2 linked regions of the Xenopus tropicalis genome follow. The protein of the gene in region 1 binds, or shares a complex with, the protein of each later gene. Links are inferred from orthologs where the notes say so. Each region holds a gene or a part of one and is shown on either strand. Other genes may lie near its edges.

Region 1 (3,754 bases):
TAGATGTTGTCCTGGGGTCTTTTGTGGCCTCTCGGATGAGTTGTCTCTGCGCTCTTGGGGTAATTTTGGTCGGCCGGCCACTCCTGGGAAGGTTCACCACTGTTCCATGTTTTTGCCATTTGTGGATAATGGCTCTCACTGTGGTTCGCTGGAGTCCCAAAGCTTTAGAAATGGCTTTATAACCTTTACCAGACTGATAGATCTCAACTACTTTTGTTCTCATTTGTTCCTCAATTTCTTTGGATCTTGGCATGATGTCTAGCTTTTGAGGTGCTTTTGGCCTACTTCTCTGTGTCAGGTAGCTCCTATTTTAGTGATTTCTTGATTGAAACAGGTGTGGCAGTAATCAGGCCTGGGGGTGACTACAGAAATTTAACTCAGGTGTGATAAACCACAGTTGTTATTTTTTAACAAGGGGGGCAATCACTTTTTCACACAGGGCCATGTAGATTTGGAGTTTTTTTTTCTCCCTTAATAATGTAAACCTTCATTTAAAAACTGCATTTTGTGTTCAATTATGTTATCTTTGACTAATAGTTAACGGTTTTTGATGAGCAGAAACATTTAAGTGTGACAAACATGCAAAAGAATAAGAAATCAGGAAGGGGGCAAATAGTTTTTCACACCACTATTACACAAAATACATTAATATACATGGACCTAGCCCTCCAAACCTCTATTTAAAGGAGATGTTCTCATGAAAACTAACTTCAGGTATGATGAAAATAGGATACTAGTATTTTAAGACAATTTGCAGTTATGTGTTTATATGTGTTTTTATCATGTAATTTGTCTTCCTAAACATTAAATGTAATTTAACCAATACATACAGTACTATACACAATACTATTAATCCAACAATGCAAGGTCACATACACAATGACCTGCTGTAGTGCAACAACTTATTATTTTAAACAGTTAGGGGCTGATTTACTAATCCACGAATCCAAATCCCGAATGAGAAAAAATCGGATTGGAAACGAACATTTTGCGGCTTTTTCGTATCTTTTGCGATTTTTTCGCCGCCATCACGACTTTTTCGTGAATTGTCGCGACTTCTTCGTAGCCGTTACGACTTTCGCGAATTGTCGCAACTTTTTCGTAGCCGTTACGACTTTCGTGAATTGCCTCTACTTTTTCGTATTGAGCGCTTGAAAAATTTGCGACAATTCACAAAAAAGTTGGGACGGCGACGAAAAAAACGCAAAATACCGATCATTACAAAAAAAACGCACTCGGACGCTTTTCGGCCGTTCGTGGATTAGTAAATGTGCCCCATAGAGTCTTTACCTTCTTTTTCAGCTTTGCAAACTTCCTCTGCAAAGCCTCCTCTTCTTCTGTAAGGCTGGTTGGTAGCAGGACCATGATGCTTGCACAGAGGGGTACTTCTGTAGATAAATATTGATACAAACAGATGTTACATATAATATACAACATAGTTTATGTCCAAATCTCAGCTTAATATAACAATGATGAAATACATTACTTGTCACAAGCATATTCAACCCACATCTCTCCAGTGGCCTGACACATCTATGTAGATAATAATTCAATGACATCCATATTGCTGAACAAGGTTTAAAACTATATATATATATATATATATATATATATATATATATATATATATATATATATATTTATTTATTTTTTTAATATTATTAATATTGAACAATTAGTACTAAATATCCACACACACTTATTAAGTGTTAAGGTAAAAGGCCTGTCTATTGTACATACAACACTGTAACAAAAGTTGAATTTACCTTCACAATAAGTGTTATGCATAACAAGTGATGTTTCCTTTACCAACCTAAGCTAGTCACACAGAAAAATTTAAAAACAAGTAGTGAGTGATTTTAGGATGATCCAGTAACTAGAAACAATCATACACTTTAATAATCAGCAAAATCTAGGGTTGCCACCATCTCTGGGAAAAAAAAGCATTCTGGCCTTGCCATATTGTTATCTTTTTTTTCTTATTAATAACATTGGCTTCAAACATCATTTTTTACCAGCCAGGAGGCTATCCGAGCAACACTGTCCTACTAATCAATCAGATGGGAAAGAAGATCTTGGTTGGGAATAGATAAAATCTCTCCATGGTTGAGACTGAGAGATGAAAGTAGGTTGCATGGTGGGAGGTATTAAAAAGCAGCTTGCAGTTACTGCAACACAGCTGTCAGGCAATTTCTATCTTTTAATGGACACAACAAAACTATAAAATCTTTTTAGCACGAATATTTTCTTCAGACGGATAAATGCAGTAGGAATGACATAAAATGGTACAATCACTTAATATATGACAAAACATTTAAAAGTCTGGCCAACATTAGGTAGCCCCCCCCCCCTCCCCATACTTCATGGCAGGAGATGCCATATTCAGGTAACACAACTTCCATTATCCTTGTTGTTCCGACTGACAACTGCAAGAACGTGAAGCCCTACCAGACCCGCCAATTTGTTGCAATGGCAAATGCAATACGAAGTCCCCGATCGGTGCGCATTTGGAAGGCTTGGCCCTACATTGTTCAACATTCACGTTTCCAAAGCTCCCAAATACCAACAGGTTCGAACTGAAAAAATACTCATTAGACACATTTCTACTATGTTTGAAACGAAAAACACACAACAACCTGTTTATTTACCTCTCTGTAAAGTCGGTCGCGTTCTTTTTACGTCACATAAAAAAATGGAAACACTAGTCCCGGCCCCTCAGTAATATCCGAGACAGGAACAAGACTCGCCATGACGTTACGGTCACGTGACAGGTGCTGGACAGGACAGTGCTCCATATAGTACAGGTGGGGTAGGAGAGTCAAATTTGAGAAATTGTGAGTGAAGTGTCAAGCTAATGAATGGAAGTGGAGGAGGATAGGCGTGGTTTGTGAGGGATCTGTAGCGAGTGTGGTTTACGTTTTAGAATATGCGTGCCCCGCACAGCTGCCAGCTTGGCACTCATCGGGTTCTGCAGAGTGGCCCTTCTATTGCAGAGCTCAACTATTCTGTTTGCTGTAAATATAACGTGCCGAATTTTCTTATTTTCATCTATTAGGGTAATGGCAGAGGATGTGATTGCCATTCTGCCCTGACTTAGGGGAAAAAAGTGTGTGTGTGTGTGTATGTGTGTATATATATATATACATACATACATACACACACACATACATACATACACACACACACACACACACGTGTGTATAAACGGGTACACACCAAATCTGGTCATTAAAGGGAAACTAAAAAACCATTGTGGCCAGTGTCAGAGTGGGATGCCAGGGGCCCAGAAAAAAACCTTCAAACTATTTTTCACCCACTTCTCTCTCACCCTCTATATTTTCCTAGTGTTTTTTTATCTTTATGTACTATAATCTATTCTTTTTTTGGGCCCACCAGGAGTTTTACTGGAATCCCTGGGGGCCAGTTCGACACCTACTGTGGCACTGTCAGATATTAAAAAAAAGTTATTTATACTAACTTTCATAATATTTATTTGTGGTGCACTTTAAGAATGCACTTTCTGTTCATTTAGTGGGAATTGCTATGTTGCCTAGGTAGAGAATTTTTCATAGACTTCAGTTGTACATCTCCTTTAATTTATGACCTTTCAATTGTGTGGTTCTCATGAAGTATTTGGAAAGTGCCTCAGCAGAGCCAATCACTTTTATATCATGTTAATTACACTATTGTTAAAGTCAGGGGTTCTTATTTTATGGGTCAGGATACATGAAAAAGGGGTTGCCATACTGTTTGA
Region 2 (3,663 bases), on another chromosome or scaffold:
GGAGGCCCTGGATATTGCTGTAGTGCCAGGGCAAGGTAACCAGCTGCCTCCGTGTGTAAGTGGGCAGTGTGTGCGGCTACAGTTTATCATTATTTCCCTTCTCCCCTTTTGATCTGTTTCTTGGCATCCTGCAGCCCAGTCCGGAACTCCCTGAGGAAAGTGTCCTTAATGCGCTCCGCCTTGCGGCCCATCTCCCACATGTCCCGGGGGGGCCCAGCCCTGCTCGTCTCCTGTCGGATCTGTCGCACAGTGTCGGAGCGCAGGATTCTCTGGGCCGCGTCCTTGCCGCTCAGCTGAGCCTTGGTGACAGCGAAGGCAGTGATTTGCGCTGCTCTCCGTATGGGCCGGGACTCGGAGAGTTTCTCTATCAGTTGGGGGTTATTGAGCAGAGTAAAGAGCAGTCTCCTCAGAACCATTGTGCTAATTCAGTTTCGCTCTCACAAACACCAATGTCGCTTAATTCACTATTGAGCCATACTGCCGCTCTGTAAGATCCGCCACCTACGGCAAAACGTACAAATGCTAAACTGGGCAGAGGTGCAAATGAATTATATCGCTGCGCCCCACCATGTATAAAAAGCAGTCCCGGCTATCGGCTACACTCGCTCCATACTCACTCACTGCTCGATAGACTGCACTTGTGCGCCGCTCTCCGCCAATCCCAATTCTCACGGTCACCTGCCTGACCTCACTATAGTTTCCGGTTCACCCGGATACAATATTACACTGCTGCTCTGTGATTGGTCCTTGTGCGGCTTAATGGGCGCCACTTGGAGAAGATTAGTGAGGAGACTGTAGCTTCTGTAAGGAAGAACCGACATGGCTCTGGGTGCCCTAAAGAGCGACTCGTACGTGGAGCTGAGTCAGTATCGGGACCAGCACTTCCGGGTGAGCTGCCGGCGGCACCTACCTGTTTGGGTTGGGCGGGCTGTGCCTGTTAGTAGTGCTGTAGGCAGTGGGGGCACGCATTCTGCTCAGAACCAGCCTCCTTTGTCTCACTGGCCGGGATACGAGCTACAGTACCAGCGGGATCTGTGTGTTGTTCTGTTGCTTCATTCTCCCCTACTGCAATAATCCCTACTTGAGAACTCTATTGCCGGTTTCTAATCCTGTATCATGTAACACTGGGGGCTCACACTCAGTTCTGGACTGGGATTCAAAATAGGCCCTGGCATTTTAAGTTCAAAGAGACCCAAACAGCCCTCACCAGCCCCTCTGGTATTTGCCAGAACCCACAGATTGCCAGTCCGGCCTGTTCATAATAACTCATTATGGGCATCTCTCATATACCCTATGAGCTCCTGCTTTCCCATGCTGGTGTGTGCTTCTCTCTTAAGGTCCCCATACACGGGCCGATAGAAGCTGCCGATATTGGTCCCTTGGACCGACTTGGCAGCTTATCTGCCCGTGTAGGGGCAGAAACGAGGGGCCTGGCCGACCGATATCTGGCCTGAAATTGACCAGATATCGATCGGCCAGGTTAGAAAATCCAGTCGGATTGGGGGCCGCATCGGCTCGTTGATGTGGCCCCCGAACCGACTGCCCCATGGCCGCAACTGTAATCCGATCGTTTGGCCCCAGGGCAAAACAATCGGATTATTTTTTTTTAAAGCTACTTGCTACCCGATATCGCCCACCTGTAGGTGGGGATATCGGGTGAAGATCCGCTCGCTTGGCGACATCGCCAAGCGAGCGGATCTTATAGTGTATGGGCACCTTTTAGTTTCTGTCATCTAATTGGGTATGTGTCACACACTTCCAGAGGAACCAGAAGGTAGTTTGTCTGAACGTATTAATGTACTTACCTGCTTTGAGGTATCTGCAATAGCATTGGCTTGAATGACCTGCCAGCATGGAGTGACTTGATGTGGCAGTCAGGCTTAAACTGACATTATTGCATTATAGAAGTTAACCCAGGTTAAGCAGGCAATTATTACAAAACAATCTGTGTTGATAAATGCATTGAATAATTAATTGTATGAGAACTAGATGATTTTAATGATTGTGGCAGGGCTGCCTCTAAAGACTGTGAAAGTTTATTTTTTTTTAATAAGAAAATAAGGATGCAGTTTGTCTTCCAAATAATCACTAATTATGTTGATTTGTTTATATTACAGGGAAACCGGTCTGATCAGGAGTGTCTGCTAAAGCACAGTTGCACCTTGTATGTAGGAAACCTGTCATTTTATACAACAGAGGAACAAATCCATGAACTGTTCAGCAAGAGCGGCGATGTTAAAAAAATTGTTATGGGGCTCGATAAGATTAAGAAAACAGCCTGTGGATTCTGTTTTGTAGAGTATCCTTTTTATATATTTTTTTTTTTCAATCCTTTTTTTTTTTTTTTTTGCCCACTTTTGAGGAGGACCGGGTATATATAAATGTAGCCCACCCCTAGGTGTGGCTTGGATACTAGCAATACGACTATGTTGATACCCCAAAGATTTCCCACTGTATACCAACACAAGTAAAAAGTAAACCTGTATTTATTATACAAGACGGGGCGGAAATAAATTGGTAGTTAATGCAGAAAATAGAAACAGAAGGCAATAACAAAATGTAGTGAAATGCAATATAAATCGTTTAAATTCACACAGGAATTTAAATTTTACAAGGTAAATAGACACCTAATATGTGATGTATGGGTGTTTGGGAGCTCCCCTTTAGTCCTAAAAGCCAGCAATGTTGGGGCCCTTAACTTCCAGGATGTCTAAGCTATGTTTTATAGCTTTAAATGCAGATCTCACTTCCAAATTCTCATTATTAAACTAGTGTCTTCGATGGGCTGGATTGCAGTCTGTGTCTGGGAAATCGCTGTTCACTCTTTTAGCACACACACCCCTTGGACTTTAATGGTAATCTCCAGCAGATCCCCACAGTAATTTCCCTTAAATGCACTTCCTTCCAGTCCCCACCAGTTATTTTTTACACTTTTCTTTCTGTAGAACAGGGCTGTCTAACTGGCAGCCAGTGCCCCCCCTCCCTTTGTAAGAATGTTATCAGTACTGAGATTAACTGGCTCACTGCATCATTCACACCTCATGTTCAGGCTGTAATCCCCCTGTATTGTTTAAACATTTAGTCCCCTATACTGTTTACCCCTTTTAGGGTTTGCATTGTTTACCCCTGCATTGTTCACACTCAAACTGTAAATGCACACATTGTTCACCTGTTCACACCTCAGTATGAGCATTGTGTCACTGTATGTGTCTGGGTGTGCCATACTCTGCCTGTGTGTGCCATACTCTGCCTGCCATATGGGAGGTGAACCTGGCAGGGGCTTGTTCTGGGAGTTTGTTAGCAGTTGGAAATAGTCATTATATGGTCCCTAAGGTGTGTAATTATGTGCTGGGGTTTGCTGTGCTATCTACAGGGGAGTAGAAGCCATATAGATTTAAGGGTATGTCTTGATATAATATAATTCTTTCACATATGAATGAAGTGTGATATACCTACACCAACCATTTGGGTTTTTGCTGTGCTACCACCATTAATGTGGGCATGGTCTTAAAAGCTCTTGTGATAACATGGGTGTGGTTTGAAGTGGGTTCAGTTTAAAAAAGGGGAGTGGTCAAAACTTGGCTTCTAATATCGACCCTGTACCATGTAGGCCAGAAAAATTCCGGCCCTCGGTACAATAGAAGTTGGACAGCACTGCTGTAG

The links. The genes of interacting proteins can lie anywhere in the genome.
Region 2: the proteins of nelfe (region 1) and ncbp2 are in contact, whole or in part, in a crystal structure (PDB 5OOB), measured with the Homo sapiens proteins. The link is inferred for Xenopus tropicalis from reciprocal best matches to the Homo sapiens genes NELFE and NCBP2. Residues at the interface, in NP_002895.3 of Homo sapiens: Lys361, Arg362, Gln364, Ile365, Val366, Tyr367, Asp369, Tyr372; in NP_031388.2 of Homo sapiens: Phe49, Tyr50, Thr51, Thr52, Glu53, Gln55, Lys68, Ile69, Ile70, Met71, Leu73, Lys77, Lys78, Thr79, Ala80, Asp107, Glu121, Gln124.

What each region holds. Positions count from the first base shown.
Region 1 is NC_030684.2:74,059,931-74,063,684, forward strand, and holds the start of nelfe (negative elongation factor E), read right to left. Parts: upstream 2,685-3,754; 5' UTR 2,649-2,684; intron 1,389-2,648; 5' UTR 1,366-1,388; coding exon 1,291-1,365; intron 1-1,290. UniProt on the Homo sapiens protein: Essential component of the NELF complex, a complex that negatively regulates the elongation of transcription by RNA polymerase II.
Region 2 is NC_030681.2:106,058,410-106,062,072, reverse strand, and holds the start of ncbp2 (nuclear cap-binding protein subunit 2), read left to right. Parts: upstream 1-785; 5' UTR 786-819; coding exon 820-888; intron 889-2,117; coding exon 2,118-2,299; intron 2,300-3,663. Other genes in the region: protein NCBP2AS2, read right to left, coding at 90-416. UniProt on the Homo sapiens protein: Component of the cap-binding complex (CBC), which binds co-transcriptionally to the 5' cap of pre-mRNAs and is involved in various processes such as pre-mRNA splicing, translation regulation, nonsense-mediated mRNA decay, RNA-mediated gene silencing (RNAi) by microRNAs (miRNAs) and mRNA export.